Linked DNA regions of Drosophila melanogaster. Changing the gene in region 2 together with the main gene of any one other region gives a genetic interaction. Each region holds a gene or a part of one and is shown on either strand. Other genes may lie near its edges.

Region 1 (5,144 bases), on a different chromosome or scaffold from region 2:
GTAACAACAATTTTAATTGGACAAGCTAAAATTATGGAACCGGTGCCCATCCGGCCAAAAGCGCCGGGAGCGAGCAACCGCGGAGCCCTGCCGCTGGCGGCGAAGAAGCCGGCCAAGAAGCGTACGTACCACTGCGGCGTTTGTTTTGCGGAGTTCTCTCGTCATCTGGCCGCCAAGCGGCACGAGCAGCAGTGCTCCGTCAGGGTGAGGCGTCTTTTCGTCTGCCCCCACTGCCTGACGCTTTTCGGCGAGGAGGCCCGGCTGGAGCGGCATCGGGAGCGAAAGCACAACGATGGCCAGTTCCTGTGCCTGCAGTGCGGCAAGAAGTACGCGTCAGCCACGTTTCTTTACCGTCATGTTGCCAGTTGGCACGGCCAGCAGTCGCTGTTCTACTGCGACATGTGCACGGACAACTGCAACGACGTTAAGACCTTTAGCGGGATGCTGGAGCTGCAGGAGCACGCCGAGGAGGTGCATCGCCTGCGTACCCTGAAGTCCACGGCCAGTGATGCAGGTAGGTATTCTGCTTACGAGTAGTTGTGATGTTAATGGCATACCCTGCTTAATAATACTATTCAATCCGATCCCTGCAGACAGCCAGGTTGATGAAATGGAGGATCTTGAGATGCTAGAGGAGAACATTGAGAACATACTGCCCAGCATCGACTGGGACGACGATCTCACCTTTGGCTGGCCCACCGACCTGGACAAGGAGTCGTGCATTGTGAACGCTAAGCCGAGCGTTTTCGTGTGTCCCTTCTGCGCCAACGGATTCCCCGGCAGTCTGAGCCTGGTGCGGCACCTGGAGCAGGTTCACGAACGCAGTGCCCTGGACTGCTGCTACTGTGGCAAGAGCCATGGCAGCCGAGAAGCCCTGCGGTCCCATCTGCAACGTGTTCACATCCTCTTGCGCGGTCATGTGTGCGGTATTTGCCAGGCGGACTTCGCCACTGCTGATCACCTAAAGAAGCACGTTAACAGTCTGCACCTGGACCACCGACCGCATCTGTGTCCCACGTGCGGAAAGAGATTCACCCAGCGGTGCCACCTCACCGATCACATAAAGACGGATCGCGGCCATGGACACGGCACTTACACCTGTGAATTCTGCGTGCGGCCCTTCTTCCGGGCCATCGATCTCGAACGGCATGTGTGTGAGGAACATCCGTAGGGCAGTCAACCTAGCCGGAATCGTAGATACCTGAGCGACATCTCACGTCCAGAACTACGATTAATATATACTTAAGCAATGGATAAATGTAACGTTTTAATAGCGTTAATATTTTGAATTTATATCCTAGTCATCGGAAATGTTTTTCCAAACGAACTTGAATTTAAAATCGTATTTTATTTTTTGCTGTAAAATTAATGCTTATGAGACGATTTACATTTACATCTTAGGAACTATAGACATAAGCGAATAGTTACTTTAATATAGCAAGCAGATGGCTGAAAGACAATGTACTTATATGAATAAAAAAATATCAATACATGAAGTCAGGTTAATAGAAACGGGCACAATTGAAATATTTTCTAAGGAAAGTTTGAAAGAATGAAAGATTGCCTAAAGAAAGTTTACAGATTATTGCTGCGTAGTGTTAACATAATGTAAAATGTCACACTAAAATGAATACTTTGAAAATAACGATGAAATAGTGCAGCTTTATGAGTAATATTTATCATCACCACAACACTGATTAATCAGATAATATACTCCATTTCCACCAATAGACAGATAATAGAATGTAACATATGTATTGTTCATGTTGCTCTATATATATTTAAATTTAAAATCTCAGCGAGCCTCCTGAGCGAGGGTGTGCGTAAGTCGAGATCGCGCTCTCCCAGCGTTAACTGTTAACAGTGAAACCCATCCGCTCCGCTCCAGGCCCCAAGATCGGGAGAGTAATGAGCGGAGCGGTTCGGTTCGGATTGGATGTGAGTGTTGCGGTACAGAGCGGAGAGCGCAATGCTGCGACAGCTGGGTACTGTTACTGTTACTGCAACAGTTACTGCTACTGCTATTGTTATTGGCGACTGTGGTGATAGGGGCGCAGTAACTTGGCCCACACCGACGAGTCGACAGTTTTGAACGGAACTTGCTGGTGCTTGGATCGCAGCTCCGCCGATCTCCGCGAGGCTAACACCACAAACTTAAACGCGCTCAAATATATATCACAAATTATTAAATACAAAACCCCCCATTTGTGCACACATATTTTTTGTTGTTTGTTTTTCGTTTCGTGCTAACCGATTTGTGCCATTGAACTTCGTGTAAAACATAATATTTAGAATTTTCAAGCCGTGTTTCCATAAAGTAAGTGGTGCTTCTCAAAATTTCAACATTTCAACACAAATCAGCAGCGTAAACAAACAAGCCAGCGACCCTCGACTACATCTAACATTTAAACTGAAACTGCTTTTTGTTATTGTTTATATGGTTTTCCACTTCTGCCCCACTAAAGCCGGGCCTTTTAAAAAGCTCTCCACAGCGCACAGCCTTTTGTTATATATATGTTTTTTTTCCCCAATAGCTTTCGAGCAAAACCAGAACACCATTTTATCATTAACAAATGCAAAAAAAAAAAAAACCAAACAAAACAAAAAAGTACAATTGCAATTAACGTTTTTTGATCTGGCTGTTGAGTTATTCCAGTGGCTGTGTGGAAAACCCAGTGAAAATGTTGCGCTTGAATTCCTAAAAACAAAGTCTAAGCCGGGCTTAATCGTTATTCAAATCAAACTACGTCAAATCGCGTGCGAATATAAGATTTGTGAATCACAAATGAAAGTGAACTTGGCTTAAATGTAGTCGCTGCCTTAAACTGCAATATATCAAGTTGTTTATGATCGAGTTATTGCGGATAAATCGTCAATAAAGTTCAATAAACTAATGCTGGCAATGTGTTCAAAGTTCCTGTTTTTTTTTTTTTTTTTTTAATTTATAACATTTTAGAACAAAAATGCCATTTTTAAGAAATAATTTATTTTGAAATGCACATTTGCGGGTTTTCATTAAAAGAAAACACGTTTAATGATAATGTTTGCTCACAAAAGTCACACATTATATATTATGTGATGAATATTAAAATATTATAGTAAACGTTTCTAATTATAACGTATATTGTATGAAACAACTGGAGAACTTTGATATCCTAGAAAGGAAACTATACCTTGAGCAAGTGACACCTTCACTAAACTTAAAAAAGAAAACAATTATTTTAGATATGCCCTAGTTTTTTAAAAACTTGTTCATATTTCCGCCTTCCAAAAGTTGAAATCGGTTAATCTTAGACTCGCATTCCAGACGTCGCCGTTGACCCGATCCCTTTGGGAGCCCTTTGGGAGCAAATCCATAATTTATCTTGTAGAGCTTGTAGAACCCACTGCCCATTGTCCATTGCCCATTGCCCTCCTGTTGGTCCAAGTTTTGTGTTTTCTTGTTTGTTGTTTGCTCTACTGCTCCCCCGTCTACATGGGCCCATGGATGCAGTGGAGTTATTATCATGTCTATATTGTAATTGATTTGCCTGAGCGAATGACCAGACGGGAAGACAAGCTATGGGCCTGTTCCCTGATCTGCCACGCCTCCGCCCGCGCCGCGCCCGCGGTCTTATCATTAACGCTTGAGTCTTCCTTTTGTATTGGAATTCTTGTGCGGGGAGCAATTGCCTGGCGGGAGGCACTCCCTTCGCGTAATTAAGGACCGCCCAAGTGGGGATCGCGATTCCGAGATGATTCCTTTTGGTTCCTCGCCTTCTCCTCCTTGAGATTACTTGATATGATTTGATATCTTCGGGTGACGCACCGGGAAGGAATGCCTCGAAAGTGTGAGAATAAATACAGCTGACACCTGCGCAAACTAAATACAGATCATATGGGTATCGTCTATCGACTATATGATACCTGAGGCATGGATATATGCATATGATAGCCTTATAAGTTTAATATTCCTAAAGAAAGCTTGTAAACAGTGGCTTGATTGCGTTTTTTGAAACTAAATGCTGATCAGATTTCGCCAAAGTTAGCATACCTTTTTTTAGTACAGGGTACTAAAAGCAATCAGTATGAGGAGTAACAAAAGCCTGTCGCTTTCGCAATAAGTACATATTCGCATTCATATATATAATTTAAAAACGTGCTTAATTTTGTAATCTGCCTTTCCCCCTTACCACTACTCCCATCTATCCGTCTCCCTGTGGTCGATCTGTAATATCTGCGCTGACGAAATGCCTCAGTAGCAACAACAACAAAAACAACAACAACTGATAACTGATAACTGACTAGACGCACAAGTTAACCGTTGAATCGGGTTAAAGAGACCTTCGATGTGACAGGTTGTGCAATCACCAGCGGCCCACCCGTCGAACGAACATCCTATAGAGGTTTTAAGAATCTGCATTATATTTTGAATCTTGTTTTCAGTTTGTAAGATCTATTGAAATTCTTTGCAGATAGATTAGTAAATTACTTGATATCTTTTTAATTCCAATTGAAAATTATTCCGAAACTGTTAAGCTAACAGCTGTTACTCCACACAAAGCTTGTGCAGCAGCCGCCAAAAAAAAAAATAAAAACAGAGCAACAACAACAAGACGGCACAGAGGAATGTCAAGATGAATCACACAGGTGTGCGTGACACCTGGCAACAGAGAAAGAGAGAGGGAGGGAGAGCGATGAAAAGAATAACAACGTTTGGTCTGTCATATCAATCGGTATTTGCTTAACTGTTAAAAAGAGCCAAGAAATGTAAGGAAAACAGAAAGGAAAACAATGATAGCTGAATTCCGTGTGCGTGTGTGTGTGTTGATTGCAGCCCACAAATAAACACTTGTGCACCCATTGCACCTAAAACGCAAGTGCAGAAACATACACACAAATTGAAACTCCCGAGGAGTACCGTTACAAGGCGAGCTTAAAGCTATTTTTAACACCATCCGATCTTGCTCTCCTTCCCCACCCCTTTCCACACCCCTCTTACCCATTCTGCTATCTCCTTTCCTGTGTTGTTTTTTGCACCACTTCTCACTTTGCTTTTCTTCGTCTTGCCCTCATACACTGCACGAAACCAGGATCACTTTAAAACGCTTTGTCCGCATATTCCACAGCTTTGTATTAGAGAAATATAATCAATTATGTATATA
Region 2 (5,267 bases):
AGATGAACAAACGAATCTGCTTCAGAAGTATCTGCGGGTCAAGTCGGCTGCCGAGGAGGAGGAGCTGCTCTTTACCTCCAGTTCTGTAGTGAGTGGATTATTTGTATGACAATGGTGGTCACATACATGATATACCAATGTATACTTAATCAATTCAAGTTATTTGCATCAATGTGATAATTTCAATATACCTCCTGTGACCTCCTGTGTTTATAAATAATTATCAATAAGCATTCTATTAATATACTTAATTTTGCAGTATTCCAGTTGGGATGATCAGCAGACGAGCGACTTCATAGAGGTCAAAGTCAACTGCTTGGATCCCAACAACAGACGTATTAAACTGCACGATCTGGAGGCGATTAAGAAAATCTCCGTGGAACTACAATCAGAGCGAAATAAGAAAACGACATCGGACAAAGAAGATACTTTGGAGGCGGAGGAGGATAAGCAAAATTAAGCTGATTCTTAAAAAAAAAACAACTACTAATTATACACAAAACTAACATTTTCATTAGTATTTACAACTAGTTGGCCAAGTTAGGGTTAAACAACAAATTTCCTTGTAACAGCTATGTGAAAACAGCATTAAATTTAATTTAGAAAATTAAAGAAACTAAGAAAAAAAAAGGAAATCAAAAGGAAAACATTTGAAAATATCAAATTAAAATCTTGGCGTTTCAATTTTAATACATTTATATTCAACAGTTCGGTAGATCTCTTCAAAGTTTACTTCGCTTTAGGCAAACATGCAAACATTCAAGCGAAATGCACTTTGTACAGATTTGTTGTTTGTTGTTTTTAATAGAAAGAGTCTAAAAATATTCGCTTGGGGACGGTTATCGACGCCGTTCGCCTTTGACGGTTTTGCGTTTCTCCTTCTTTTCCTCGCGCAGTTGCTTTTGCTTTTCCCGATCCTCTTTGTCCTTTTGCTTTTTGGCCGCACTATCCATTCGGGCCTGCTCCCGCTTTTCCTTGGCTAGCGCCTGGACATCCGATTTGTTGGTATTCTTGGTGAGCGTTCCACTGTCATCCTCGCTTTCCGCCTCGGAATTCTCGTCGTCCTCGTTGGCAACGGCAGTCTGCAAAAAGATTGGCATTGTCATTAGATACTAGATACTTCTACTTTAAAGCTAGTAATAGATATCTGGAATCAGCAGCTTGGCCAGCATGGATAGCAACCTGGGAGTATTGAGCTAGAATCTGCTGCTTGATGCGACGCTCCTCTTCGGTGTATTCACGCTCCTTGTTTACGGCGGGTTGCAGCTTCTGTTGCTCCAGCAACTTGGCCAACTGGGCATTCACATCGATATCCAGACCTTTTTTCGGCGGATCATCGGCGCTGGGATGGCTCTGTAGCCACTTTTGTAGTATGGTGGCCACCAGTTCGTCAATGTTGGCGGACTGCAAAGATCACGGACCATAATTTATGTAGGCAATGATATTACTAACCATAACTTACACCTGTTTCGCTGAGAATTCCCTCGAGAGCCTCGGTTTTTTCATCTGTCGTTTCGTCGCCCTCCAAAATTCCAATAATATACGAACCGAAAACGTTCTCGTCGGTGTTCAATTTGCGCAGCTGCTCGTTGAGCCAGCTCTGGAAGTCATCCGTGGCGCTCATGGTTACTCGGTATTTGATTTAAATATCATGTATAGAGGATTTTATTTGCGGAATAAACTCTGGCAGTGACAAATCAGCCGCAAAAGGCAACAAAAAAATTTGTGGAGCATGTGGCGCAGTGTTGGTGAGCGTTGACAGCGGAACAGCTGCTGCAGTAGCACTGCCAACTGACTGGAAAAAGAAAGTTTAACAGAAAATACAATCATTTTACTGAAATAGAATTTTTAGAAATAGAATATTATATATATTAGGTAAATTCACAAGTTTATTAATTGGTCTTTCTATTTTAATAATTATTATTTACATTAATATTTTCCAAACTTGTTGCTGGCAACACTGACACCTGAACACTACTGTTAGCCAACTGTTAACTACCAGCGAACAGCTGTTGCCGCAGTGTTGGTAAATACCCGCACACCTTTTAGTTGTTTGCCGATTAAAAAATTACGCTTTTTGTTTGAAAACGAAATATTAACTGCTGTGCTATTGAAACTCTGTCAGAATTAAAAGATATTCTATCTGGCCTGCCATCTCTTATTGTCATACAACAAGAAGTCTTGTGACACAGCTAAAGGCGTGAAATGGATCAATTAAACTTATAAACAAATTGTTTGTTTCTTTTGACTGAAATACTTGTACGGTTTTGTGCGTAAATGTGCGCTCGTGTGTGTGTGTGTGTTACCTATGCGTTCGTGTGTGTTTGGTGATTTTCTGATAACTCACATCGCAGCAAACAGCGAAAGCAAAAGCAACAATAACAAATTGCAGCAACAACGTCACACGTCTGCGACACCTGCGTCGCTGTCGCCAAAGTTGTGTTGTTATTTTTACTGTTGCTGCTGTCGCCGCTGTCGTCGCCATCGGCTTTTGTTTATTTGTTGTTGCGTCGCGTCGTAAAGAAGGAAAAGCGCCCACACACACACACAACACACACACAATCGCGCGTGTGCCGTTGGCAACAAGTGGAATATATACAAACGAAATTCATACAACCCCATGTTAGTGCGTGATTTACAAGAGGCAGAGAGAAATCCCTTCGATAAGTTAACCTGAGGTTAGTGATATCCATCGGAAAATACATACATATGTACAATCATACATATGTATGTATGTATGCCAGTTGTGGCAGGTCTGCGATTTCATAAATTGATTGATTGTCAAAATAAGACGTGCTAATTGATAACGATATCATATATAAAACCATCTCCTAAGAATATTTTTTTTCGAAAATAAGTAAAATTAGTTATTGCCTTAGGATTTACATATATTTATGTGTTAGGCATGTGTTATAAATTATTCATTAATTACAAAAACAAATAAATTATATAAAATTAAGATGATACATTTTTGAGATACCTTTATGTTTGCGCACTTTTGAAGTGCTTTGGAGTTGCCTGTGTGATCTCTGGCTCCCCTCCTGCCAACATTGAGTTGGCTCCTGCCACATTCTTGGCATCCTGCCGCCCACAAGGACCTCCGCCCACTTTGCTCCTTCGCCTATCGACTTGCGGCGGCCGCAACCCGAGTTGTGTTGACTGTTTTTTTTTAATGAGCCAGGTTTGTTTATGGGCTTGTTAATGTGAGTGTTTTACACTTTCCAATCCGTGTGCATATTCATGCGAGCGCTCCTCGGCGAACGCCTCTGTGTTTGTGGTATGCATAATAAAGGCCATTAAAATTAAGTAATTGACGCTGGCAGCGAGCAGACGACACCAGAAGGGGGAGGGGGGAAGGCAGGCGGTCTTGACTGATTCAGCGGCAGCGGAAAGGTGAAAACCGGAAAAATGAAAAGCACGGCAAAACGAAGAATGTTTCGGCCTAAAATGTACATACATATATAAAACCTCAGCTTTTCGTCATCTATCTCGCTCTGTTGCGTACAATTCGCGCTCTCTCTTTCCCAAAATGCAGAATTCGTCATTAAATTGGAGACCCATTTAAGTTTCAGCGAGCTCATAAAATTCACACGTTTCATTGCTTGCGATTTTGCAATAAAGCACAGTGGGATCAAATACCATAAAACTAAAAAAAAAAATTAATATAAAATGTTTGAACCGTTAATGCTGTTATGTTTGTATATAATATACAAAAATACTCATTACTTTCCTTGCCTTTCATGTTTTTGAATTCATTGTTATTTCCTTTTTAGGCCCACTGTGCGCATTCTTCTTTTGGGGGTTCCTTGTGTTTTACGGCTCTTTTCAACTGCCAGTTGGTAGTTGGTGGACACGCCCTCGCCCATAAGAATTTCTTGTTCGCTGGTTTATGGCAGATTTGCTCGATGGCTCTGCTTTTGGCCCGCTGCAGTGGGCCAAAGTCATGGCCCTAATTGTGGGAATGAATTAAATTGATTTCCATATCATAAACCCAGGCTTGCGGCCAGGCAATCAAATGGAAAACGCAACAAGTCAATGGCAGAAACAAAAAAAAAACAATTTGGCAGGGAATTTATATGTGAAGCTGCACTTCACATAGCAAAATCAATTCAACAACGTGGGGTGGTTGGTCTTTTCGAGGATGCCACGGGGCGCTTATCCTGCAAAGTGCTTTCCATTCTTGTGGCTCGTGGAATTTTCCAGGACCACCCACAGTGAAAGCGAGAGCTAATTCCGTATGGAGTGGCGATGGCTGCTTGGTGGGGCGTGTGGCTGTGATCTCTATAATACCATTGCTTATTTAGTTTGCCGCTGGTTCCGTGTTGTGTGACTGAAAACATATGCGTGCTTTTTGTATTTCGAATTTAAGTATTTAGTATTTGCTGCATGCGCTTTAAATTAAGGTGAGCTATGGAAAAATGTGAAAATTTATCTGATCATTGAATTTTTAATAAGAAAAAAGAGGCGGCATGTATTGATGGAAACTGTACTGTATGCCATACAAATTTGTTATTATTTCTTTATTATTCAAGTGAGTTGCTAACACTTATTCAAAATGAAGTTCTTCTCATTTTGCTGCAATTCCTCAAAAGATTAACTTAAATAACAACCATGAAGTATATATATTCTTATTTCACGAGAATTCATTAAAATATCTTTCCAAACTATAGAGCTGTGATAAGGGTTTTCTGTTATCTTAAGGAATCTATCTGTTACATTCCATTTGATTTTCGTCTCCTGAAGGGTTCATCTCTTCCAGTTGGGATGCTAAGTAGCTCCCTGGGTTTCCAAACCCAGCCCATTTGCCCCGGAGGACATCGCCTGGCACTCAGTAATGTGATTGGAAAGGCTTCGTCGGCTTGGGCTGCCAGTTGGATACCACGATGGTAGGTGGTAGGGGGGATCACCATGGGCGGTTGATGGATTCCATTCACTGTGCCCTCTCGTATCCACTTAACTATTTCGTTGGATTGGGGCACGTTGTTGTTGCTACAGCAGCTGCCGCTGCCGCTGACATTTTCATTTTGCTACAGTAGGGCTACTGTTTTTCCCGCTGTCGCTTTTCCTTGTGCGCTGTATCATTGCCATGTCGTTGACAAATTGTCTAGATGAATGGAAGTGTGGGTTCGATCCCTGGGATCCTGGATAACTAACTGAAAGTGGGAGATGGAGATGTAGAGCGGAGCCCTTAAATGTGTGTCAATAAATGTGTGTTAAAATTGCCGTTAGGCAGTAGGGTCATGGTGATATATGTATAAGGTTGCGAA

Evidence for each region.
Region 1: of tai (region 2) and Pvf1, changing one enhances a phenotype caused by changing the other (phenotypic enhancement), as found in Drosophila melanogaster (one study listed by BioGRID).

Annotation. Positions count from the first base shown.
Region 1 is NC_004354.4:18,830,630-18,835,773, forward strand, and holds the start of Pvf1 (PDGF- and VEGF-related factor 1), read left to right. Parts: upstream 1-2,052; 5' UTR 2,053-2,317; intron 2,318-5,144. Other genes in the region: CG7101 (uncharacterized protein), read left to right, coding at 34-514, 594-1,171.
Region 2 is NT_033779.5:9,164,761-9,170,027, forward strand, and holds the start of tai (taiman), read left to right. Parts: upstream 1-2,017; 5' UTR 2,018-2,678; intron 2,679-5,267. Other genes in the region: CG13108 (uncharacterized protein), read left to right, coding at 1-88, 260-460; CG9586 (uncharacterized protein), read right to left, coding at 840-1,112, 1,183-1,404, 1,463-1,624.